Linked DNA regions of Xenopus tropicalis. The protein of the gene in region 1 purifies or fractionates together with the protein of each later gene. This does not show direct contact. Links are inferred from orthologs where the notes say so. Each region holds a gene or a part of one and is shown on either strand. Other genes may lie near its edges.

Region 1 (17,602 bases):
CTGTAGCTAAGTGGCAGGCCAATATCCCCAGCTGGCAGCTGTATATATACTGTATATAGTGTGTATATGTCCTACCTCTGCTTGTAGGCGTCCCGCTCCCGCTTCACCTTGCCCAGCACATTATAGAGAGCCCGGATCTCTGGGGTGATGGTGTCAATCTGAACCCCAACTCCGTCTGAGTGACCCCAATAGGCTCCGCTGACCGTGGCCACATCACACCGGGTGCCCAGCCTGTGGGCCCCATACACCCAGGGCTGGGGGGGAGGCGCCGGGCAGGGCCGAGTGAGCCCCAATAATGGCGGAGGCAAGATGGGCCCCACAAAGCCGGTCTGTACCGCCTGCTCCCGGGTTATGGGGCCGGCCCCCTGGGCCCTCTCCAGCGCCCTCTCCAGGGAGCGGTTCCTCCGTTCCAGCTCATGCACCTTGGCCAGAAAGCAGCGGAACCGGAGGTTCAGGGTCTTCAGGACATTGATGTTGGAGCCAAAGTCATTGCGTAAAGCGCTGGCCCCCCCGGTGGGAGCATAGGGGCCCCCCAGCAGCAGGGAGCCCTGGGGGGGAGATGTGGGGCTCTCCGCCGGCTGCAGGGGGGCATCAGAGGGGAGCAGGAGCAGGTTGGGGGTTAGTAAGGGGTTCATGGCTGCTCTGAGCACTGCGGAGACAGGGGAGGAGGGGGAGGACCAGGCTGAGAGATGCGGGGGGGGGGAGGAACAGTCACATCACGGAGAGCGGCTCGGAGGGAGGAAGGTGGCACAGGGCACTGCCAGGGCACGGAGACTGCAGGTTGGCAGGGGGGATGGAGCAGCCCGGGAGAGACAACACATCCCACTGACGCGCAGAGGGAATGGAGGGATGGAAGGGGCGGGGGGGGCGCATTCCTTCCTACATCACCGCAGGCTCAGCCATACCCCAACTGCAGCGGGGAGGGGGGGGGGGGGCAGAGGGACGCTAGGAGCGGGGAAGGGACAGGGCTACAGACCCAGGGACAGTGAATTGGCCTGACAACCACTTTGTGCCCTAATGGGGGGGCAAATAAACAGCCAACATCTGGGGGGGGCAGTTCTCTCTTTCTCTCTCATTTCCCCCTTCTCTAACTGATACTTTGATTACAAAAAAACTGCGGTGATAATGTGACCACTAGAGGGCGCCGTTGCTTGTGGGGCGTCTACTGGTCCCTTGTTTTGCCTTTGCAGGGGGGTAGGTATGGCAGCTCCCACACACGGAAATAATAATATAAAGGAGGATCTCTGTGTAGAGGAAGGTGATATACAGTGGCCGCTGTCTGATAAATGATCACAAGATAATAAGGCTGTGGGTGATTTATAGGGCAAATAAAGCCATGTGAGAAGCTGCAAAATAGCCCTATGCCTTTACTTGTCCTTTAATGCAGGGGAAACAACCTGCTACCCCCCAAGGGTTTTCCAACTACAGTCTTCAAATCAAACTGCCATCTGTGCAACCAGATGGGCAATACAAACAGTGCCCACCGGCTCTTTGGCACTTTCTCCCACCCCTGCCAGGAGTCATTGCCCTGCACCCACTATCCCTGCTTTGGATGACTTCCCAGCATGCTCTGCTTTTACCAGCTTTTGTGAGACAGCTGGCCGCTGCCTGGCAGGGATGAGACAGCTGGACTGTGGCATTAGTCCTGTGTGTAATTATTCTTCTGGGAGGGGCATTTGTTAGCTGCTGGCATATTACCAGCCAAATGCAGTGTGTGTATATATTTATAAGCTAGAGTAAGCCTTCCATTTATATAATATAAATATAATCAGCCCATTCATAGGCCCCTGCCATCTGGCAGCAGCGCCCCCCCTTGTGCCAGGAGCCATAGAGTGTGTGTTGGTGCAAGTGACTGGGAGCTGCGTGGGAATGTGTATGAGACAAGCGTTGGAGGAATGCAGCGAGACCCCCAGGCACATGAGTAAGGAATTCTCTCTGCATCATTTGAAAAACAGCAGGCGTTGGTTATTATAGTCAGTTCTGTAAATCCATCAGCTGTCATACATATCCATACATAGCCAGTCAGGATCGGATTAACATGGGGGGGTGAAATGTGAGGTAGCCTCAGGCTCCTCGAAGCCAAGGCCTTATTCAACCAAGATCGAGGCACATGTGGCTTTGTATGTTACTGCCACTGTGTGTAAATGTAGATGTAGTTTGGTTCCCTGTAGATTGTTGCTGAGTTACCCTATTTAAACTTCAACTCAGTGCTGGTATCAGAAATCATAGTGTCCCATTCTACTTAGCTGCCAACATGCTTGTCTATGCTTTCAGTGGGGCAGGTAATTTATGAGTTGGGTGCAAGTTACTTATGAGTAACCTACCTTGAGTCAACCTACCTTTTGGTAAGGTATACTGGGGGAGCTGGTAGCAGCCCTATGTCACTTATGCCAAGGTGAGGTGGTTAATCTTGGGCTGTATATAAGGCAGCTTCCTCAAGGAGAAGAAATTAGATTAAATCCAGAGAATGGAGATAGTGCCCAGGGGCAGGAGGTCTCAGTGAAGATAGTGCCCAGGGGAAGGAGGTCTCAGTGGAGAATAGTGCCCAGGGGAAGGAGGTCTCAGTGAAGATAGTGCCCAGGGGAAGGAGGTCTCAGTGGAGATAGTGCCCAGGGGAAGGAGGTCTCAGTGAAGATAGTGCCCAGGGGAAGGAGGTCTCAGTGGAGATAGTGCCCAGGGGAAGGAGGCCTCAGTGAAGATAGTGCCCAGGGGAAGGAGGCCTCAGTGAAGATAGTGCCCAGGGGAAGGAGGTCTCAGTGAAGATAGTGCCCAGGGGAAGGAGGTCTCAGTGGAGATAGTGCCCAGGGGAAGGAGACCTCAGTGAAGATAGTGCCCAGGGGAAGGAGACCTCAGTGAAGATAGTGCCCAGGGGAAGGAGACCTCAGTGAAGATAGTGCCCAGGGGAAGGAGGCCTCAGTGGAGATAGTGCCCAGGGGAAGGAGGCCTCAGTGAAGATAGTGCCCAGGGGCAGGAGGTCCCAGTAAAGATACTGTGCAAGCCTATAGAGAATCCTACTGTATATCTCAGTAGAAGACTAGTAGGACTAGCTGGCCTAAAGACTAAACTCTTGCCCAAGTTCTTTATCGATACAAGACAGTCAGGCTTGTGTAGCTATAAAGCACCAACAGTAAAGTTAATCCCCAAGTGACCCAATTAGAGCTGAGATGGTTTCTAGTTCCAGTGTGGTGCCATACTGTCCTGTTGGGCACAGTCTCTAGGGGCACCACACACTCTCAATAACACATGCCCCCAATATACACTGAAGATGCCCCCAGAGTGAGATGGGTCCCTGTGCTGGTTTGTCCTGCTGTTAGTGGCCTGGGGCATGTGTTTAGCGCAAAAATGACATTACAATAAGCTATGATGGAAGGTTCTAGTATAAGGCACTGTGTGGGTTCAGAGCTAGAAGGCAGGGTTTGGTATATATGCCAACATTCTGGGATGGATACTCAGCCATGTCCCAATACATTAAAGCCATTCACAAACCCACCCTTCTTTCCAGAAAGCTACACATCCCTTCTTGAACTTTGGCATTGATAGCCCCCTAAAGCCTATGGGGGAAATGCTGTATTTTATATTTTATTTTATATAATGATCCAGGCCTGCACAGCTATCTCCAGCACAGGCTAACAGCCGAGAGTCAGTGGCACTGCACGTGCTCAGTGGGCTGCTGCTGAGAAGCTAAGCTTAGGGGTTGTGGGAAATTAGCAAACATTAGCAGATAGTGAGGTTCCAGCTGTCACAGAAGCTGATGCTACAGGGCTGAATAATAACCACAAGGCACTTATGCCAGTCGCAGGTTGAACAATGAAAGTGAACATTTGATTGGTTGCTATGGGTTACTGGGCAGGTGCAAATTTGCCCAGAGTTTATAAATGAGCCCCAGTGTGTCGGTCCCTAAGCTCAGGTAAGCTATACATAAGTACATACCACAGATACTTTACATACAACCTTAACATGCTTAATCCCTCTGGAACCAGAAGCAACATGAATTTAATGGAATTTTAGAAGCCAATGAGAGCTGCCCATGAGTACAGTAATAGCGCTGACCTAGGGGAACCCGTGCCTTACGATGAGTAACCAACCTTTAGGGATCATGGCTCACCGAGTGTAGGGTGTATGATTCATGGTATATATTATTTCATATATATTTATTTCCTAAGGGCTGCCCCCTGGGATCATAGGAGTCACAGTGAACACAAACAAGCCAAGGCACACATACATGCTAGGCCCCATCAGCCAATGAATGGGCAGAGTTCTGCCTTTTGCTCCCATACTACTCCCTGTTACAGTTAGAGCTGCATCACTTCCCGTCAGCTGATCTCTGAGGGAGCACACAGCCCATCACAAAATGGCGGCTCAAGGGAAAGGATATAAAACGGCAATATTTACTGATATATATATTCCAGTTTGGTGAGATTCTTTAATAGGCCACTTAATATGATATATAGTTTTCTTTTAAGAGGTTCTAGTTGTTTTGCTGATTTTGGCCACCAATACACTGCGCCGTATATAGATGGGATCTATTGGCCCCTGGGCCTAGGGCTGAATCATAATGGGGCCTAAGAATTCCAGTCAGGGAGGGCTGCAACGGTCACCTTATGTTTTACATTGCTGTACAGTTCTCGTTTACCCAAAAGTCCCGCACTTGTTATCAATCAGCTCCTACTTGATTGGATAAAATGATTCTTAGTAAAATTACACTTGTCTTACATGAAAACCTATTGTATAATCTCTGAGCCCTTGTGTACAGCAGCCCCAGGAAAACATGGCTTCCCCTGAATTCCACCATCACCTCCTCTACTGTGATGCCTCCTTCTCCTTTGTACTCCAAGGGCAGGACTTGTGCTGCTGTACACCCTTGCCTTGTACTGCAGCAGTTTGGTTTGGTTGCACTAAAGGGGTATTCCTTTTTGAGAAGCTCAGTGGTTTAAGGCCTGGCTTCCTTGCTGATTGGTGCAAGTAAAAATACTTTTTACCTGTTTTTCCATAGCAGTTGCAGTGCTATAGTGAAGACATTGCTTCTGGCAATTCTGTGCCAGCTGGCATCCCTAGCGCTCTCAAACCAGATCTTGCAAGAGTGGCAGGGCTATAAGATAAGGCACCAATGTGTCCAATCCTGACTGTGGGCAACATACTGCCCCCTACAGCTTATTGTGGGCTGCCACTCACCCTATATTTGCACCAATCAATAATGGAGCACCTTACACACATCAGCCTCACTCCCCCCAGCACCACATGTGCATTTAAACCCTCACCCCTTCAGCCCTCTCCGTTCCGGGCATCTGCTCTTTCCTGGAACTGACAGACCCAAAGTCAAACTCCATAAAAACAATATTTTTTTTTTCTATTTTTATAAAACAGAACCAATATGTTTACAGGGCTGGCGGCTGCCTTGGTTGGAAACAGAAGTCTGGAGGTGTGAGACCCAAGACACTATACATCATCATAAGAGTTTACATAACAGTAGCCCTGCATGGAATATGCAGGAAAATAAAGATGGGCCAGTGCCAGAATGTCTATTATTTCTGCTGATTCTCCCACAGAACCCCACAGACTCTGAGGGTGGCCAGGCTCAAGGCCACATTCAAGATGCTCCCAACCACCTTTCAGTTTGCAGAACATTCTGAAGTTCTATGGAGGAGCAGCAGGCAGGCTGAGTCACAGGGCAACAGATGGTCAATGTCATGCGGAAAAAGTTATTTATTCGTTTTCTTTTTGAACATCTTTTTCTTCTTTGATGCTACTTTCTTCTTATTTTTATTGCCAGTCACCTTCACAGCTTTCTTCATATGAGCTTTCTTTATTGCAACTTTCTTTTTCTGAGCTTTCTTCTCTGGTTCCTTCTCATTTGCCCCTTTTTCCTTTGCTGCCTTCTCATTTCCCCCTTTCTTCTTTGGCGCCTTCACATTCCCCCCTTTCTTTGGCGTCTTCTCATTCCCCCCTTTCTTCTTTGGCATCTTCTCATTCCCCCCTTCCTTCTTCGCTGTGTTGTCCTTCACATCATTCTCCTCTGGAGCTTTCCTCTTTGTAGCTTTCTGCTTTGTGGCTTTGTCCTCATTCAGCTGATCTGGGCTGGGGGTCTCAGTCTCTTCATCTTAAGGGGAGAAAGTAAAGCAAATTGTATAGGATCATGTGAGATACTGATTCGCAGTCAAGGAACTGCATAATGAAGGGAGGTTCTATACAGAGGAAACCTGGATAAAAATGCTGGAAAGGATTTCAGAACCCATGACTGGGAATGGGGTCACTGAAGGGAAGATGTCAAAAGAGGCTAAGGAGTAAAGAAACTAAGGGAAAAGCATAACTAACTTGAGGCAACTATGAGCCAAAGCATACACTTGCTCAGACACATAAGGCAAAACACACGAGAAACTGTCAGCAGGCATAAGTCTAGGAAGGGCTTTTCCACATGTGACCCTCAGAGATATCTATGTCCCCCCAAGACTGCTCAAAAAAAAAAACCAGCTCTTACACTTGTAGCACAGTACGATATGGAATAAATTGGGCCCCACTGATATAGAGAATAAGCATGCAGTGTTTGGGAATACATTTATATCAATAACCGTAAGATGCCTTACAGACCTCAGCAGAGATGCATTAGCGGTTACAAAAGAAGCTTACCTTTATTTGGCTTGGGGATGGTGTTGGAGAACTTGCGCAGCTTTGCAATGAAAAAGCCGTCCATATTGTGAGTGTGTGGGTAAAATCTTCGTGCCTGCCGCAGCGATGGGTGAAATCGCCGTTCCTTGAACCTGACAGTGGGAAGGATTATTTATAAATGGACACACTGACCAATCCATTGTGCAGCCAGTACAGATTCTGGTGGCAAAGCCCAAAACACATCTTTACCCAAGGAATCACAGGCAATACAATAACAAATGCAAGGTGATCCTAGCAAACAATCAGCAGGAAGTGTAAGGGCACATATACAAGGATGTCACTATTACCTGACAAAACCTTCCTTTCCAAAATCCAGTCCTGTTGGGACAAGTTTGACATTTCTCTTCTTTAAAGCATAATCCACTACACATTCATTTTCCTCCACCTGCAGGGACAGAGACTTAGAATTAGGCTTGAACCGGACTTTTTCTGTTGTCTTGACAAACAATGTGCCACTCAGCAGTACCACTAAGCAAGGTGCCATCAGTTTAACCATATAAAATGAACCAAGGAAGAAAACACTTGGAAAACAAAGGGGACAGAGTGTAATAAACAAAAGGTGTCTCATTTCACCCTGCCTGAAGCAGCTGTGGATACAGTCCAGCCAACTCACCGTTATGGAGCAGGTACAATACACCATAAACCCGCCAGTCTGTGACTGGGCATCCAGAGCATCAATAGCACTGAGAATCAGTTCCTTCTGTATGTGGGCACAACGCTGGACATCCTGTACACTCTGCGTAAATACAAATACACAGCATTATTGCACTGCCATTGTACCTTCTTTCACTTACTCAGGCTGTGAACTTGTTTCTGGGGCTCCAGAAAAAGTTAGCAAATGTACTGGTTATAATCAGGACAAGAAATACTGAATAGATACTGGGTGCCAACAGAACTATGGAGCTCACTTTAGCATCACACATGCAGAGGCAACCACTATTGTTCCTGTGTCCCCTATGGAACTGAACAAAAAAGGATGTAAGGTAAGAAAACAAAAATCCTCTTTTCAAAATCAGGCTGCCCCTTTTCCCTACACTAGAGGCCCTAGGAGGGCCAGCCCCATAGTTTTGCAACAACTGCCTTAGAATATAAACAAAAAAATAATATGGAGCAGCACCACAGTAATATATGTGTTACCTTATTTGTTTTAACGGCAGGATCCTTGCTGATAATCCCGGTACCACTGCACGGAGCATCAAGGAGCACTCTGTCAAAGCCCCCTAACACCTGGTAAGGTATTGAAAAAAAAAAAAAAAAAAAAAGTCAGTAAGTTCCAAAGCCAGTTCTTGGCCTTTCTCTTCAGAACCATGAAAAATCCCCCTAATAGGCAATATATGCCAGTACCCTGATGCCCTCAAGCTTTTGCTATTGTCAGCTGACCTTGGATATCTGCCGCCCATCATAATTGCTGATGATGCAGTTTGTCACCCCCAGCCGGTGAAGATTGCCCACAACACTGCGCAGTCGGTCTGCATTCATATCATTGGCCACGACTATACCTGTGTTCTTCATCAGCTGAGCTGGAGACATAAGGAAACAGAACATTAACGAAAATGGGCATTTCTCCTGACAGCACCAGTCTACTTTCAAGTTACCATCTGCCATCTGTTCCTCCTTTCTAATTTCCCTTTACTTACCCATGTAGCTGGTCTTGCCGCCAGGTGCGCAACACATATCCAACACCCGCTCATTCTCCTGAGGAGCCAGCGCGATGACTGGTAAAAGACTAGACGCACCTTGCAGCATGTAATGTCCGGCTAAGTACTCAGGGGTGGCACCTAGGCACACAAGCAAGAAAATAAGTTAGGCTTCTCATCACAAGCAAACACAGAGTCCTTCCCTTGGCACAAACTCGCATCCCATAAACTCACCAATTGGCACGGAAGAGTCGTAAATAACAAGTCCAGTTTTTGACCATTTACCCAAGGGATCCAAATTTACACTGCGGTTAATGAGAGCCTAAGAAATAACAGAAAAAGAGAAAGTAAAGTAAGATTTTTGTTATGCTCACTTTCACCTATTTCCTCAGAGGACAACTGGGACAAGAAAAGAACCAATGGGGGAAGCATGTAGTTGTAATGGCACACAGTGGGATTTGGGCCGTTTGTTACTAGAGCTGACAAAGTTCTGCACCTGAGCAAGGTCACGTCTTCTTGTCTTTAAAGTGTTGGTCCTGATTGTTATCGGTCGCTGAACTTCACAAGCCTCAAGGAAATCTACTAGCTGAAATTAAATGAAAGGGGAACCAGGGAGAATGAAAAAGAAAGGTTTAGATACAATGGGACAAAACAGTAGACATGGCACTGTAATGAAATACCATTATACAGATAGCTAGAATCTCAGCCATAAAGCAGGGCAGGACTGCTGCTTACAATGGGGATCAGATAGGATCTGTGCCACTGTGACAGAATGCTCTGTTATACAGATAGCTAGAATCTCAGCCATAAAGCAGGGCAGGACTGCTGCTTACAATGGGGATCAGATAGGATCTGTGCCACTGTGACAGAATGCTCTGTTATACAGATAGCTAGAATCTCAGCCATAAAGCAGGGCAGGACTGCTGCTTACAATGGGGGAATCAGATAGGATCTGTGCCACTGTGACAGAATGCTCTGTTATACAGATAGCTAGAATCTCAGCCATAAAGCAGGGCAGGACTGCTGCTTACAATGGGGGAATCAGATAGGATCTGTGCCACTGTGACAGAATGCTCTGTTATACAGATAGCTAGAATCTCAGCCATAAAGCAGGGCAGGACTGCTGCTTACAATGGGGGGGATCAGATAGGATCTGTGCCACTGTGACAGAATGCTCTGTTATACAGATAGCTAGAATCACAGCCATAAAGCAGGGCAGGACTGCTGCTTACAATGGGGGGATCAGATAGGATCTGTGCCACTGTGACAGAATGCTCTGTTATACAGATAGCTAGAATCTCAGCCATAAAGCAGGGCAGGACTGCTGCTTACAATGGGGGGGATCAGATAGGATCTGTGCCACTGTGACAGAATGCTCTGTTATACAGATAGCTAGAATCTCAGCCATAAAGCAGGGCAGGACTGCTGCTTACAATGGGGGGGATCAGATAGGATCTGTGCCACTGTGACAGAATGCTCTGTTATACAGATAGCTAGAATCTCAGCCATAAAGCAGGGCAGGACTGCTGCTTACAATGGGGGGGATCAGATAGGATATGTGCCACTGTGACAGAATGCTCTGTTATACAGATAGCTAGAATCTCAGCCATAAAGCAGGGCAGGACTGCTGCTTACAATGGGGGGATCAGATAGGATCTGTGCCACTGTGACAGAATGCTCTGTTATACAGATAGCTAGAATCTCTGCCATAAAGCAGGGCAGGACTGCTGCTTACAATGGGGGGATCAGATAGGATCTGTGCCACTGTGACAGAATGCTCTGTTATACAGATAGCTAGAATCTCAGCCATAAAGCACTTGAGAAACCACTCAAAGATTCAGGGCTTGTAACAGCCCAAACTGAAACTTTCATAACTTGTCCTCACCAAGAACATAATGCACTATTGTAACATCTATTTTATACATTTCAGCCAACACTGAATTTGCAATAACAATTGTACCAAATGTTTTCTGTAGGACACAATGCCAGATTTCCTCGGCACAGCTCTCACCCACCATATATACAACCGCCTTTCATACACTGCTCACTCTCACCTCCGACACAGGGAAAAGTTCACTGAGCGTCTCAATCATGTAATCTCCGTAACTGTAGTAGGTAGCGAGATCTTTCTTGAGCACTTTGAGGTACTCCTGCCGCGTCCGACCTCCCCCGCGCTGTGCGAAATTCTGCAGAACTCCTACTATATCCTTAATGCGCTCCTGCACTGTGACAAGATCTGGGGCAGTTGAGACTGCAGGGGCAGTTAAGGAAGGGTCATTCTAAAGCAACATGAGCTGGGGTGTAGAAATTTTAAAGAATTAAGAAATTCGGGAAGGGTGGGAATGAGGTACAATCCAAAAAAAGATAAGGATACGCTCCTTTTCCAACTCTTCTTCAGTTGGAAGCTGAAATAGTTCTTCGGAATCTACATTCAACTGAATGGTGCTCTCTTCTCCTGTCAGAGCTTCTTCACTATATGGAACAGATCAGAATGGGAGAGATTCCGATATGAAAAGTCGAGTTATTTACAGGTAAAGAGAACTGTGCAAATAGGGAAAGGAAGGGGTGCCCAGCATAGCAGCCAGCAGGCCGGGCAGAGTTAGAAATGCACCGCAGGCTGAACAGAGGCAATAATAGGGTATAGGGTCTGTGTGTGTATGTGGGGGGGATTATTCTAAACAAAGGGGTGTTACCTTTTTTGTTTTTTTTTCTCCTTCTTGGATGCCCGCTCTATTGGAAGAAGCTACAAAGAAAAAAATTATGTCAATTACTACACAGTGGGGGAACAGAGAAATGGGAAAAGGTGCACTTGATATCACTTACATCCTTCTCATCCCCTGACGAGGTTCCATAATCATCCTGAAGATCATCGCTGTCTGACAGGGAGAGGGATTCGCCAAACTCACCATCACCATCCTCCTCCTCATCACCATCCTCCTCCTCCTCATCATCACCATCCTCATCTTCACTTTCCTCTTCTGCATCTTCCCTCTCATCACTCTTCTCTTCCATTTCTTCATCTACCTCCTCCTCCATCCCATTCTCTACCTCCTCCATTTCATCCCCCTCTTCTTCTTCTTCATTATCCTCCTCACTATCATCTTCGCTTTCCTCATCTTCTTCCTTGCGAGCTCTTTTCACAGGCTTCAGCCATTCTGCATTGTCATCAGTAAATCCCGGCAGGACTTTCTTTTCGCCTATTTTGAGCTTTGCATTGGCTGAAATAGATTGAGAACCATGGGAAAGAAACACAGAGAGTGAATAATGTAGCAAACGGCGTTACAACATTAGGAAAGGACAAAAAAAGAGAGAAAGGGAGAGAGACAAGACATCAAAGAGATATTAACAAACATGAGGAAAGGGGAGCTGGATGGGGGAGGGGAGGCAAGAGAGACTCCATACCATTGCTCTTTGCTGGGGGTTTGGCTGCTGCTTTTTGCTCCTGTAACATGCGCCTTTTTAGTGCCCTGGAATGAGACAAGGGAAGGAAGGGACAGATAAGTTTGAGCAATTACCAAGCACCAGAAATACTTGGCTTTGCCTGTGCCCCAAGGCTCAGCAATCTCACCTCTTCCTGCCGCGGCTGGACATGCGCTTTGCTTCTGTGTCTGAGTGAGAGGGAAAGAGAGAGCAGAAAGTCAATGGAGGCTCAGAGAGGAGACAGACAGCTAGAACATCATGGGGCCAAATACACTGTTGGGCATTTCCAGCCTGTAACTTTAAGAGATGCTTAAAGGGGAAGTTCAGAAAGTGGAACAAAAAGGCATGAAATGGGTATTAAAGCCCAATCCAGTGGGCACTCACCCTCTTGCAGGATGTTCTTTAGCTCATTTTCTGCCCCATGCTGCTTCCTTGCTTTACGGCCTGGGCCACGAGGCACCTTCCTCAGCGGGTCTAATTTCCTACCCATGATGCACCTGTATGAAAAGAGAGCATGATTCAAAAGACATATGGTTCCTCTACAGTGTGTACCTACCATGACAGGTTACAGGCTGACATCACTGCTTGTTTTGGGGGTGGAGCTCTCACTGCATTACACAGAAATCATCCCTGCAATGAGCATCATAGTGCCCACAGACACCAGCTGAGGTTTAGCCACTGGGCAAGGGGGTAAATGTGTTGAGATCTCACAAAACACTGTCCATTTTTTGTGGGAGGCACAGGTTGCTAAGCAGGGATCATCGGGTGTTACTGTAACCATGTTACCCTACTGTTGCCATCTTGCTTTGCTTTACCCACTATTCCCTACATTTTTTTTTTAAATAGCACCATAGGGCAATCACACATATATGCCATCTATATAGATTGTAAGCTCTACGGGGCAGGGACCTCCATTCTCTTGTGTCTGTGACTCTTAACTTATTGCAACTGTATCTTGTATTTATTGTTATACTTTTTATGTATTTATCTATTATCTTAATAACCCCATTTGTATTAATGTATTCTACTGTACAGCGCTGCGTACATAAGTAGAGCCTTATAAATAAAGATATACATACATACAACTCCCTGCCAATTTGCAGCTTAGATTCTAACAGACTATTAAAGGGGCAGTAGCATGTCCAAAATTGTTATAAATAAGAAATGTGTTCTCCCACATCTGTGCTGGACCCCCCAGGGGTACTTTAGGTGCCTCCAACACTCCATAAAGGCAGGTTAATAGTCGCCAGTAGGGGGCAGTAACTAATGGGAATGACGATCTCTGTAAAAGGCAACAGAAAATGTCATTATTTAATAAGTTTAATGACTTTAGATCTGTCTGGGACAGGACATGAAATCAGAGGTTGAAGACACACAGAGCTACTAGTAGCAGCTACTTGTCCTGGTCACTAAAAAAGTCAATGCTGATCATTTACTGATAGTTGTCTCTATGTGTGTTTTAGCAGAGGCAATTCTCACTCTTGTCTATGGCAGGGGATTTTCTGGAGTTTAGTAGCCTTGAAAAAGTAGCTGCGACTGGTAGCTCAGTGTGTCCTCACCAAAACAGAATAATGCAGGGTGACCAGGACACTTGAAAATTCAGGGAAAGGTATAAAAAATCCAGCCAGCAGGGCTGAACTGATTGCAGTTTAATTCAAGTACAACCAGGGCTGCCCTCCAACATGCATGTTAGACGTGTCCCTTAATCTTCAAGTGATCTGACCACCCTAGGGTAATAGTGTATGCAGGTGACTGCGCTGGGGCAGATATGCGCTATGTTACTAAATAACGCTGCCCCAGGGCTCCCTGTGAGGACGAAGGACACAGATAAGGATTTGATTCCTACGCTCCCAACATTCCTTATACAGGGAAGCGACTGCTTTATTACTTGATTCCGGACTGCAGGATCCCAGCGCAACACACCGGGTACAGCGTTACACTGTCGGACGCTAAAGTTTGCGAGGCTCCCACAGACGCTTAGCACGTATCCCGTATTAGACCATTAATAGTACTTGCCCGCCCTCCCGTCACTACACACAGTCTGACAAAGCTGGGAGAGAATACACGTTATGCGCCTTTACCTACTGCCGGAGTCGCTTTCTACTCGGTCTCACGTGTTGCCCAGGCTGGCTTCCGCTCCGGCGCACTGCAATGACGTCACGCCTGGGATTCGGGCATGTGGCGGGGTACCGGAAGTGACGGAAGCAGGGCCCGGCAGTCTGATTGGGTATATGGGGTGCTGGCAAGAGGAGGTAGAATAGGCAGAGGTATCTGGTTCTATGGGCAGAGTGTATGTTTTAGAGATGCCATGAACTGCCAATAGGGGCTTGTAACCAACAGGCCGAATTATTATTCGCCATTATATTGAGTTGGGAATTGGGCGGGTCCCTGGGAATGGGATATGATGGCGCAAACACACGTATGGGGGGGGGGGCTGTCTGTGGCACCTTACAGCCCCCCTGGCATTCCCAGTACCCAGAGGCACAAACAGCCCCCCCAGCCCAATAACTAGTGACTGTCTGTGGCACCTTACAGCCCCCCTGGCATTCCCAGTACCCAGAGGCACAAACAGCCCCCCCAGCCCAATAAATAGTGACTGTCTGTGGCACCTTACAGCCCCTGGCATTCCCAGTACCCAGAGGCACAAACAGCCCCCCCCAGCCCAATAAATAGTGACTGTCTGTGGCACCTTACAGCCCCCCTGGCATTCCCAGTACCCAGAGGCACAAACAGCCCCCCAGCCCAATAAATAGTGACTGTCCTGTGGCACCTTACAGCCCCCTGGCATTCCAGTACCAGAGGCCCCCCCCCAGCCCAATAAATAGTGACTGTCTGTGGCAACCTTACAGCCCCCCTGGCATTCCCAGTCCAGAGGCACAAACAGCCCTTAGCCAATAAATAGTGACTGTCTGTGGCACCTTACAGCCCCCTGGCATTCCAGTACCCAGAGGCACAAACAGCCCCCCCAGCCCAATAAATAGTGACTGTCTGTGGCACCTTACAGCCCCCCTGGCATTCCCAGTACCCCAGAGGCCAACAGCCCCCCCAGCCCAATAAAATAGTGACTGTCTGTGGCACCTTACAGCCCCCCTGGCATTCCCAGTACCCAGAGGCACAAACAGCCCCCCAGCCCAATAAATAGTGACTGTCTGTGGCACCTTACAGCCCCCCTGGCATTCCCAGTACCCAGAGGCCAACCCCCAGCCCAATAAATAGTGACTGTCTGTGGCACCTTACAGCCCCCCCTGGCATTCCCAGTACCCAGAGGCACAAACAGCCCCCTTAGCCCAATAAATAGTGACTGTCTGTGGCACCTTACAGCCCCCCTGGCATTCCCAGTACCCAGAGGCACAAACAGCCCCCCAGCCCAATAAATAGTGACTGTCTGTGGCACCTTACAGCCCCCCCTGGCATTCCCAGTACCCAGAGGCACAAACAGCCCCCCCAGCCCAATAAATAGTGACTGTCTGTGGCACCTTACAGCCCCCCCTGGCATTTCCCAGTACCCAGAGGCACAACAGCCCCCCCAGCCCAATAAATAGTGACTGTCTGTGGCACCTTACAGCCCCCCTGGCATTCCAGTACCCAGAGGCCACGCCCCCAGCCCAATAAATAGTGACTGTCTGTGGCACCTTACAGCCCCCCTGGCATTCCCAGTACCCAGAGGCACAAACAGCCCCCCCAGCCCAATAAATAGTGACTGTCTGTGGCACCTTACAGCCCCCCTGGCATTCCCAGTACCCAGAGGCACAAACAGCCCCCCCAGCCCAATAAATAGTGACTGTCTGTGGCACCTTACAGCCCCCCTGGCATTCCCAGTACCCAGAGGCACAAACAGCCCCCCCAGCCCAATAAATAGTGACTGTCTGTGGCACCTTACAGCCCCCCTGGCATTCCCAGTACCCAGAGGCACAAACAGCCCCCCCAGCCCAATAAATAGTGACTGTCTGTGGCACCTTACAGCCCCCCTGGCATTCCCAGTACCCAGAGGCACAAACAGCCCCCCCAGCCCAATAAATAGTGACTGTCTGTGGCACCTTACAGCCCCCCTGGCATTCCCAGTACCCAGAGGCCCCCCCCAGCCCAATAAATAGTGACTGTCTGTGGCACCTTACAGCCCCCCTGGCATTCCCAGTACCCAGAGGCACAAACAGCCCATTAGCCCAATAAATAGTGACTGTCTGTGGCACCTTACAGCCCCCCTGGCATTCCCAGTACCCAGAGGCACAAACAGCCCCCCCAGCCCAATAAATAGTGACTGTCTGTGGCACCTTACAGCCCCCCTGGCATTCCCAGTACCCAGAGGCACAAACAGCCCCCCCAGCCCAATAAATAGTGACTGTCTGTGGCACCTTACAGCCCCCCCTGGCATTCCCAGTACCCAGAGGCACAAACAGCCCCCCAGCCCAATAAATAGTGACTGTCTGTGGCACCTTACAGCCCCCCTGGCATTCCCAGTACCCAGAGGCACAAACAGCCCCCCCCAGCCCAATAAATAGTGACTGTCTGTGGCACCTTACAGCCCCCCTGGCATTCCCAGTACCCAGAGGCACAAACAGCCCCCCCAGCCCAATAAATAGTGACTGTCTGTGGCACCTTACAGCCCCCTGGCATTCCCAGTACCCAGAGGCACAAACAGCCCCCCCAGCCCAATAAATAGTGACTGTCTGTGGCACCTTACAGCCCCCCTGGCATTCCCAGTACCCAGAGGCCCCCCCCCAGCCCAATAAATAGTGACTGTCTGTGGCACCTTACAGCCCCCCTGGCATTCCCAGTACCCAGAGGCACAAACAGCCCCCCCAGCCCAATAAATAGTGACTGTCTGTGGCACCTTACAGCCCCCCTGGCATTCCCAGTACCCAGAGGCACAAACAGCCCCCCCAGCCCAATAAATAGTGACTGTCTGTGGCACCTTACAGCCCCCCTGGCATTCCCAGTACCCAGAGGCACAAACAGCCCCCCCAGCCCAATAAATAGTGACTGTCTGTGGCACCTTACAGCCCCCCCTGGCATTCCCAGTACCCAGAGGCACAAACAGCCCCCCCAGCCCAATAAATAGTGACTGTCTGTGGCACCTTACAGCCCCCCTGGCATTCCCAGTACCCAGAGGCACAAACAGCCCCCCCAGCCCAATAAATAGTGACTGTCTGTGGCACCTTACAGCCCCCCTGGCATTCCCAGTACCCAGAGGCACAAACAGCCCCCCAGCCCAATAAATAGTGACTGTCTGTGGCACCTTACAGCCCCCCTGGCATTCCAGTACCCAGAGGCACAAACAGCCCCCCCAGCCCAATAAATAGTGACTGTCTGTGGCACCTTACAGCCCCCCTGGCATTCCCAGTACCCAGAGGCACAAACAGCCCCCCCAGCCCAATAAATAGTGACTGTCTGTGGCACCTTACAGCCCCCCTGGCATTCCCAGTACCCAGAGGCACAAACACCCCCCCAGCCCAATAAATAGTGACTGTCTGTGGCACCTTACAGCCCCCTGGCATTCCCAGTACCCAGAGGCACAAACACTCCCCCAGCCCAATAAATAGTGACTGTCTGTGGCACCTTACAGCCCCCCTGGCATTCCCAGTACCCAGAGGCACAAACAGCCCCCCCCCAGCCCAATAAATAGTGACTGTTTGTGGCACCTTACAGCCCCCCTGGCATTCCCAGTACCCAGAGGCACAAACAGCCCCCCCCAGCCCAATAAATAGTGACTGTCTGTGGCACCTTACAGCCCCCTGTCATTCCCAGTACCCAGAGGCACAACAGCACCCCCAGCCCAATAAATAGTGACTGTCTGTGGCACCTTACAGCCCCCCTGGCATCCCCAGTACCCAGAGCACAAACAGCCCCCCAGCCCAATAAATAGTGACTGTCTGTGGCACCTT
Region 2 (9,649 bases), on another chromosome or scaffold:
TGAGTTGGGGAGAAATGGCTTCTTAGTGGAAAGGGAGGCAGGTAGTAAGGCCAAGGCATTTGTTCTGCTGAAATCCATGCACGTGTACTTGTCGTTGAAGGGTTGGGTAGAACTGCAGGGTAATAAGCGTAGTGATCTCCAGCATGGGGTGCCATGATTGTGGTTCACAAGGAGAAACATATCTGCTAAAAAGCCTGCTTTTTATTAGAAAGATACCTTATGAGTATTTGTTGCAATACAAATTTTAAGTGAAAAGAAATAAAAATGATTTTGTTGTAGTCCTGCCAGTTGACTAAACTGTGGGGGCTACCATTTGTGAGGGAAGCTCATTTATTAAAACAGCTCCCAATTGCAGAAGAGAAACAGAAATGTTTGCAGGGAAGGTGAAGTTAACGTCATTCTTCCCTGCAAACATTTCTGGTGTCAGTATCTCTTTAAATAACAAGGGCACGTATGGGAGCCAAGTTCTTTTACCTGTGAGAGGTGGCCGGTCATAGAGTCTGTGGTCCGGTTGAGAAAAACAATACAATACTTATAATATACAATACCCCCTGCCAGCGCTATGCTGCCTGCACCAGATGGGAGCTCCCAGTGAGGACGCAATGTTTCCTTATAGCCTGGGCTTAATGCCATAGCATCCCAAGCCTCTCACTTTGCGTCTGATTTCACATGCATGCACATTATCAAAAATCTGTGACACTAAGCAATGGCATGCTTGTGTCCCAGAATGGAGCTTGCAATGGGAGATGGCGGCATAGCACTTTCAGTGGACGATACAGTTTAGGCCCAATAGGTCCCCTTTAAGGATGATGCAACAATCCAGTATAAGGAGCTTACAGATGCTTTATTCACTTTTTTGTTCATTTTAGTATTGGAGAGAATATCAAGTTGCTGGTGGACCGGCCTGATGGGACGTACTGCTTTCGACTACACAATGACCGTGTTTATTATGTGAGGTGAGATCATAAAGTTATATTTACTGGGATGTGCTAAATGTTAGGCACTTTAAGTAGATACATTTTTGATGTGTGGGTACCCCTGAGAATGACATAAGCTCAGCAAGCTTACTAAAACAAACCTAAACCTACAATAGTATTTGTTTAGTTAAAGGAATACTGTCATGGGAAAACATGTTTTTTTCAAAACATATCCGTTAATAGAGCTTTCCAGCAAAATCCTGCATTGAAATCTGTTTTTTTACAGATTTTTTAAAATTTCATTTTGAAATATAACATGAAGCTAGCCATATTCTTCATTTCCCAGGGTGCCACAGCCATGTAACTTGTGCTCTGATACTTCAGTCACACTTTACTGCTGTGATATCCCCCCTCTCTCAGAAGTCGATCAGCAGAACAATGGGAAGGTAGCAAGATAGCAGCACCCAGTAGATATCAGAATAGCACTCAATAGTAGAAATCGAAGTCAAGGTTGGGACTCCCCCAGTTACATGGGAGTAGGAGAAACAATAGGTTACCTGAAAGCAGTTCTATTGTGTAGTACTGGCTGTTTCTGAAAGCTCAGAATCAGGCACAATGCACCTACACAATGCGCCTACACACCAATATTACTACAAAAAATTTAGTAATGTTATTTAGAAATAAAAAGTACACCATAAAAATCATGACAAAATCCCTCTAACCTATAAATTATGGTTTTCTTCCAGTGAAAGGATCCTTAAACTTGCAACCAACATTGCTCGAGACAAGCTAGTATCCCTTGGAACCTGCTTTGGAAAATTTACCAAGACACACAAGTTTCGTCTGCATGTCACTGCTTTGGATTATCTGGCACCCTATGCAAAGGTCAGAAATTTTCTTATTTCTATTTTATTTTTATTTTTTTTTATTAGAAATAAAACTTTTTAGGAAGATCCTGTTCACACAGGTAGTGCTTTAAAATATTCTTTATTTTCTCACACACATCACATATTCACTATATCAATTTCATGTCTGTTTTATGTTAGGTCTAAATCACTCCTTTATTTTAGTAGAATACGATACAGTAGAATTATAAGACAATATGCATGGTCTTATTCAGACTAAACCCCTACACATATACACAAGGTTTTCTTATTAAAAGCCAACAATCATATTCTTTACAACCTCCCCTCCCTCTTTCATTTTGGTATTGTGGCATTCTGAGCAATGAATATACAGCATTTCAGCAACGAAAAACTGCATATTCCGTTAACAAATAGCCCACTGACATAGCAGCGCTGATCAACCGCTGCCAAAAAAACAGAAAATACATTAAAGGAGAAAGAAAGGTAAAAACTAAGTAAGCTTTATCAGAAAGGTCTATGTAAATACAGCCTTAAGCACTCACAGAAATGCTGCACTGAGTTCTCTGTCAAAAGATTTGTTGTCTATTTTCCTCTGCCAGAGACATGCAGCTCTTGACTCTCTCCCCTCTCCTGCTCCCCCCTCCCTCAAGAATGCTAAGAACTCACTCCCCCCCTTAGGAATGTGGATCTGAGCCAATCAGCAGGAAGCTTCCTCATAGTCTTACAAACTGAGCATGTACACCGGTCTGGGTCCCGGTATAGGAGCAAGGCATTATGGGAACTTTCTTTACACAACTCAGTGTTTTTTTTTAAATGGTACTGGTATGTATGTATGTATAACTTTATTTATAAAGCGCTACTTATGTACGCAGCGCTGTACAGTAGAATACATTAATATAAACGGGGTATTAAAATAGATAAATAAAAAGTATTACAATAAACACAAATAAATACAAGATACATTTGCAATAAGTTAGGAGTCAAAGACACAAGAGGATGGAGGTCTCTGCCCCGTAGAGCTTACAATCTAGATGGAAATTGATATACCTATATTCATATTATTATCGCTAGGTTTTGATCTCCTGGGGTTGATAAATCTTTTCTTTTCCAACAGTCTTGTTGGTACAGCTGGCCCAAATTCCATTCTGGAATTTGTTTTAAAGGAGAAGGAAAGGCAAAGTCTCTTGGGGGTGCCAAAATGTTAGGCATCCCCAAGTGACTTTAATCGCTTACCTTCTAACCCGGGCTGGTGCCCCTGTACAGAGAGAACAGCACCAGCCCGAGGTAGCAGCGATCGCTTCCTCCTTCCTGATCAATTGTGCACGCATGCGCAGTAGAGTGAAAAGCCGAACTTTAACAGAGAAGTCGGCTTTTCACTCTACTGCGCATGCGTTTGTTCTGGACAATTGGCTGCAGCACGAGTGGGAAGGAGGAAGTGCTCTCGACAGGTACCCGAGGCTGGTGCTGTTTTCCCCTAACAGGGGCACCAGCCCGGGGTACAAGGTAAGCGATTTAAGTCACTTGGGGGTGCCTAACATTTTGCCACCCCCAAGTGACTTAGCCTTTCCTTGTCCTTTAAGCAAAGAGAAATGGCAAAGTATGGTCTGTGCTTTGCAATTCGTCACTAGGCGGTGTATAATAAATCATTGGCATTCCCAGAGAAAAGCTCTTTCCTTGTCCTTTAAATCAGTATTGCCTTACTTCGGAACATATTTGTACTCTTGCTCTGACTGCTTTGATCCAAAACATCTGCACTCGTATTGTTCAGTATTCAGCTCTACTGCCATGTAAAGGTGTTTGTAATGTAAGCAAAGTATGTTGTAAACATTTCCTACTCTTACACCTTGTCTACCTCACAGTACAAAGTATGGGTGAAACCTGGAGCAGAGCAGTCTTTTCTTTATGGAAACCATGTGCTAAAATCTGGCTTGGGGCGTATCACAGAAAACACATCTCAGTACCAAGGAGTGGTGGTGTATTCTATGGCTGACATACCACTGGTAAGTGAATGTGTAGAATATAGTTACATGATGTCTTGAACACAGTCAACGTATTCTAGTTTTTTTTTTGTTTTTTTACATTAATTATAGATTCAGCTAATAATGCGAAGCGCCAGGTTATCATATTCAGAACTAAACATTTGTATCAGTTGCATACTATACATTTTTTAGTTCAGTCTTCCAGAACCTTAAGGGTTTAGATTTTGCTAAACACTCAGGACGCAAATCTGGACTGCTAGGATTTGATTGAATTCTGTGCATATTGAGTTTTTGAATTGTAAACAGCTTCTCTAATTTTAGAGCAGTAAGATTACTGCATACTGCAGTGGGTTTATACAGTCTTGAATCTGAAACCTGACTTATTTTTCACTGTTGTTCTGCAGGGATTTGGAGTGGCCGCAAAGTCAACTCAAGAGTGCAGAAAACTTGATCCTATGGCAATTGTGGTTTTTCACCAGGCAGATGTTGGGGAGTACATCAGGCATGAAGATACTTTAACATAAATGTACAGGCAAATAGCTACTTTTCTAAGAAAACTATATGGACTAAATGCCTTGTTTGTGCGAAGCAGGCACAACATATTTGTATAAACTTCATTTACTGAGGAACAGTACATACATCATGAACATTTGTGTCTTCTCAGCATTGTTGCTTTCTCTGGACTGACATGCTGTCTTGAACTGAGAGGATTGTGTTCCCCTTTTTTCAGACTATTCTTTGATTAAACTTTGACATATGGGATCTCTAACTTCTTTCATGACATCAGAAAAGCTTCCAGAGTTGGCAATACACACTTTCAGTAGTGTGGTGAATTGAGTCTATGCACGTGACACAAATAATTATTTAAATTGTTTACTATTCACAGATTAAAACTGTAGTATATAAACTAAGTCTGTCACAGTCCATGGTGTTTTAGTCTTGGGTTTTCTAATAATCTGATGTTTACTAATGTATTCTTTTGCCTGTCTGGTTGCTGTGAGCTGCAAATCTTTTTAGCAGCATATTTTCCTTTCCCCATATGACAACAGAGTAACACCTGAGACAAACTTGTCTGCTTCATGCTTTTATAAATGCAAATATGTGAACAGAAGTTGTGTGCACACAATGTGTGCAATTGTCATTGTGTTTAAAATGAGATAATTTTTAATATAAACCATAATTACAAAAACATGAGATTTCTTGATGTTCCACAAACCCCTCTAATGTAAATAGAGGAATAGCTTTGCTAACAAAGATGATTTAGTGGACAGACGTGTCCCCTCCAATCAGTCGCTGTATTTTTCTTGGCATAGTACAGGACTTGTTCCAAATCCTAGTTCTGCCCTAATTTAATGGTTTAATTTCATTGTGCATTACAAGGATGCATACCTGCAGTGTTACGATTTGAGGGAATTCCAGTTTATCCGATGGAACAGAAGGTCATAAAAAGGGCAGGATAACTCTTGTTCCACATGAGATCAATGAATAGGGTTTGCACTGAACATTTGTTTTTTTTTTTTGCATATTGTTGTAATCATAAAAAAATCCTACTACTACTAAGCTACTGCAGAGGCTATAATAAGCAGTCTTTAGCCATCAGACCACTAGTTTACTTAGTGATTAAATTATAAAAGGATGTCTTGCAAAGATATTGCCACATATGAAGCATACAGTTCTTTACCATCTGTGCACATTCCCGAAGAAAAGCAGAAATCTGAAGCTAAGCATTCTACAGAAAGTAAAAAACAAAAAAAGTGGGTGGGCAAAAAGTATAGGTTAGGTTGTGCTAGGTCCCCTAAGCCATACAGGACTTTTAGTTAATTCCAGGCCATCCTATTAGTTTTGTTGTTTCATATAACTATACAAATATTTGATTTTTTTTTTTTAAAGAACTATATAGGCATTCCTCTGGGTAACTTTAGCTGTAAGCAATAAAGAGGTGTTAACTGACAGTAAACTTGAAACCAATCAAAGATATTCAACAACTCCCTAGTGTACTATCAATTAATAGCAATTTGCAATCTTTTTGTATTAGTATTTCTGGATACAACAACATGTATGGAGACAGAAGCTCCTTGTAAAAAAAAAAAAAAAAAAGTGGACAGGAAGAATGCAAACGCAAAAGAAAGGGAGAAGTAGAGAGCATTAAAAAAAATGGAAGAGAGTGGAATGGGGCAAGGGAGAAGTCATAGGGTGCAAGAGTTGAATGAGAGAAAAGGACAATGGGAAGATCAAGAAAAAGGGGAAATTAGTGTGATAAAATTTAAAAAAATAGTAAAAGAAGAAAAAAAGGTTAATATATTTAAGCACGGGAAATTGTAGGAGGAAAAAAACAAAGGAATAGCAGAAAAAGAAGTAGAAAGAATAAAAGGGAAGGGATAATGCTTTGGCACTTAGGAAATTTGCCATCATCTCTAAGAAGCCTTCTATAATTAAAAAAAAGAAAATACCTTTATTTGTGTGACAGGGCTTATGGGGTCAGTTTATATACGTTATCTAAGGGTCAATAAAACATGCATACAAATTCCATTTGTTTTTATTTCATGGTTATCTGTACATTGTACATTAATGTGACAGTTAACTTGTTTTAATAACTTGTTTTCATATATGAGATGTTCAACTTTTTGTTCAGTTTATAGCAACAAATGTTCCTATTCTTTGATCACTTGATTTCCATATGGCCCAAAGGCTATTTAATGGACAAGAAACAGGTATCAATCTGGCTTTAGGTTAGAAGGTTTAGATTTTGTAGGCAGATGCTATGCAACAACCAAAATGTGCCCAATCAGCATCAACAGTAACATCCCTTGCTAGCCTGCCTAGATGATGTCCTCTTTGAGAATCTTGTTTGCGTGTTCATTTTTGCGTATTGGGCTATAAAGAGTAATCTTCAACTGCTGTTTGTGTTCACTTAACATCGGGGTTTTTGTGAGTCTGTTGTTGTTTTCACGTTAAAGAGACGTTTCAGGAAGTAAAGCTGCAGGACTCCTGAGGCCACAATTAGCACACTTTGGCTAGCAGACCACCAGTTCACGTAGTGATAATTTGATAAGAGGATGTAGTAATCAGACCCTTTCCTCATCCTTGCAAAGTTGTAATATCGCCACATATGAAGCACGCGGTTCTGTACAATCTGTGCACTTTCCTGAAGAAAAGCAAAGACTCGTGAGATATAGAGCTAAGCACTCTCTTGAGCATAGAAACCATTAACTGGGCAAAATTGCAGAAGATAGGGGAAAAAAACAACAAAACGTGTTACAAATTACCTCAATAGTCACTAGGGTGTCATTTAACTTCTGTTTTTGGTCTTCTACATGTTCTGGCCCAACACCATCATAAAATACCCCAAAATTTAGGTAGACCTGTGCTTGACCAAAACTATTTTGCCAGTTGTTCACACAAATCTGATAAAATCCTGAAAAACAAAGATAATACATAAAAGAATGACACAAAGCAGTTGTGATTGACATTGTGTCCTCTTCGTGAAGAACAAACTATTTGTTCACTCTTAAATGTGGGGGCATAAATGTATGAGCCAATTTTTAGCTGCTGTTACTAATTCACAGTCAAAAGTAAATGCAAAGTTTGGGAATGCAGTGTAAAGATTGTTAATTTTTGTGCATAGTTGCCTTCTATTTAAGAATTACTTTTGGTTCATTATGGGTTGGAAGCTCTAACGAAACAAAGCCTTAAAAAATATAGTATGCAGTATTTTATATAATGAACTTACTGTACCAGCCTAAAGGTTTCACGGCCCTATATCAATAATTGTACAACCTTGAGGTTACAAGTTGTCAGAGAAGCTACAGGAGCTTATTATGATACAGAATACACTAGCTTCTGAGCTGCCGTGTAATGTGAATTAATTAGCAACATTCCTTGCATTGTAGATTTTTGATTACATATATACTGTATAATTTCAGTTAAGTTCAGGCAACTAACAGAAGTATTTATAAGCTAAAATATTTGTTAATGGCAAAGGACTGAGTTTCACCACACACTCATCACTACACAGCAATACAGAGTGAGGAACTACTGGAAGTATCTTCAAAGGCACAAATCTTCACTGTTAAAGGTTTGTAATAGCCTTGGACTTATAGAAGCAGCAGTCCTTGTCTAATTCTTTGTTGAGCTTTACTTCTTTAAGTGGCTGCTCATTTAGAGTGTGAATATGTTTATCCACATTACCAGTCTCTTTTGTCTTGAAGTTAATTTGACCGCGAGTGTCCTGTGATTGCTCAATCTGGAAGCCTTCTGGAGTAAAAGCTGAGGCAGTAACATGTCTGTTCTGCATTATCCCTGATGTCCACTGAACCTGCAGAGAATTTATACATTCATTGCCTGGTAGAATTTTTTTTTAATCCTTCCATGTACAATACTTCACAGAAAAAGGTAGCTTTCCCTCCAACAGGAGGAAGACAATATGCAGTGCAAGGCATACTACCTGAACTTACTTGAACTAAGGAAAATAAAATATAAGGTAAAGTATTAACACCATACACAGAGGTATTACTTGGCATAAAGGATGATAATTAGGCACTTGCACAATAGTGTTGAAGTCTTACTTTACTTCCTTAAAACCAGTTATAATATCTCCCTGAAATAAATGTATACGGCAACTTTAACATGCAAACACTTTAGGGTAAATGTATCAATAATTAAAATCACTTTTTCCCTGCAATTTGGAAAAAGATAATCATTAATAAATCAGCCTCTATGTGTTATTCTGGGGGAGTGCCAACATTTGTTACAGCAATAAAATACATGTTAAGTTTAGTATGAGCTTTGTGTACGAGTGAATTTGTGCTGTAAGACTGAGAAAGCATTGGGTCACCTTGCAGTTTAAGAGATAAGGAGGTGATATGTTTTTTGGCAGGCAGCAGGTGTTTCTTTTTCCAACTGCAGTGCAAGTTTAACACAATTATTTTACCAACAGTTGGATTAAGCATTAGCATTTGTATTATGATTTTCAAATTTTACCAGATCTGTCATCTGTTCACTGCCTGGCCCTCTATTGCAGCTGTTAGTCTGCAGTTTCAATGAGCATTGATGATCCATGAATACATTGATTGGATGATATTTATAGAGATTTTGAGATTAAAATATATATCAAGAAAGAGAAATGTTTGTTTCACATCTGGGACATCACATACCAACTCACCTCATATCCATAGTAGAAGTAGCCCTCCTGATGAGCAAAATGCCAGAAGCATTCGGTTCCTCCAGGGCCCAGCAGGACAGCAAAATCATACCGGTCGGCACCACGAAACAAAGACTGGGCATTGGGATCACTAAGTGGCTCAGACTTCTGGGCAGTACTAAACAATAAATGGGCCAGTAGGAACACCACAACTGGAAGCATGATTAAGGGCAGCCTGAGATGCAATGAATGCAGCAGATGAGGACCTAGAGAAGCGTGGCAATCATTAACCTAACCAAGCAGCCTCTGCTTGACAAACTGACAAGGCGTAGCACCTGCTACAGCCAATTAAAGGAGATGGAACATTTTTAAACACCTGTACAATTCACACAGGCAGCTTACAGTATTACTTAATGTTTCTAATGCTGCATCAACCTTAAATGATATAATAATGTGCTTTGTCTTCTGTTTAAATATATTTGTCTTATTTGCTATTGCACACACAGAACAGCATATATATACATATAATATATATTATATTTTTACTTTTTTACATTATCATAACCAAAATACACAAATTACCAAATTATAGTACTTAAAATATATATTGCTAGTCTTAAGGCTGAAGACGTAACCTAAGTCAAAAATGTTTTATGAGTTTAAATATTTACAAAGTTGTACAAAATTTACAAAATATACTTAAAACTATTTATTTGTCAAATATTATTTTGTAATTTTTTCTAAAAT

Evidence for each region.
Region 2: the proteins of nop2 (region 1) and nip7 purify together in Homo sapiens (affinity purification with mass spectrometry; 3 studies listed by BioGRID and IntAct, with this or other methods). This does not show direct contact. The link is inferred for Xenopus tropicalis from reciprocal best matches to the Homo sapiens genes NOP2 and NIP7.

What each region holds. Positions count from the first base shown.
Region 1 is NC_030683.2:10,040,168-10,057,769, forward strand, and holds nop2 (probable 28S rRNA (cytosine(4447)-C(5))-methyltransferase), read right to left. Parts: upstream 13,910-17,602; 5' UTR 13,806-13,909; exon of another isoform or gene 13,802-13,805; intron 13,725-13,801; exon of another isoform or gene 13,609-13,724; intron 12,218-13,608; 5' UTR 12,211-12,217; coding exon 12,105-12,210; intron 11,909-12,104; coding exon 11,869-11,908; intron 11,768-11,868; coding exon 11,703-11,767; intron 11,519-11,702; coding exon 11,124-11,518; intron 11,044-11,123; coding exon 10,994-11,043; intron 10,773-10,993; coding exon 10,675-10,772; intron 10,552-10,674; coding exon 10,355-10,551; intron 8,887-10,354; coding exon 8,797-8,886; intron 8,623-8,796; coding exon 8,535-8,622; intron 8,442-8,534; coding exon 8,301-8,441; intron 8,184-8,300; coding exon 8,044-8,183; intron 7,891-8,043; coding exon 7,801-7,890; intron 7,400-7,800; coding exon 7,277-7,399; intron 7,049-7,276; coding exon 6,951-7,048; intron 6,756-6,950; coding exon 6,625-6,755; intron 6,098-6,624; coding exon 5,700-6,097; 3' UTR 5,338-5,699; downstream 1-5,337. Other genes in the region: iffo1 (intermediate filament family orphan 1), read right to left, coding at 76-635. UniProt on the Homo sapiens protein: S-adenosyl-L-methionine-dependent methyltransferase that specifically methylates the C(5) position of cytosine 4447 in 28S rRNA. Required for efficient rRNA processing and 60S ribosomal subunit biogenesis.
Region 2 is NC_030680.2:61,098,776-61,108,424, reverse strand, and holds the end of nip7 (60S ribosome subunit biogenesis protein NIP7 homolog), read left to right. Parts: intron 1-869; coding exon 870-956; intron 957-1,663; coding exon 1,664-1,802; intron 1,803-3,642; coding exon 3,643-3,783; intron 3,784-4,166; coding exon 4,167-4,286; 3' UTR 4,287-4,951; downstream 4,952-9,649. Other genes in the region: tmed6 (transmembrane emp24 domain-containing protein 6 precursor), read right to left, coding at 6,674-6,907, 7,029-7,177, 7,951-8,077, 8,924-9,124.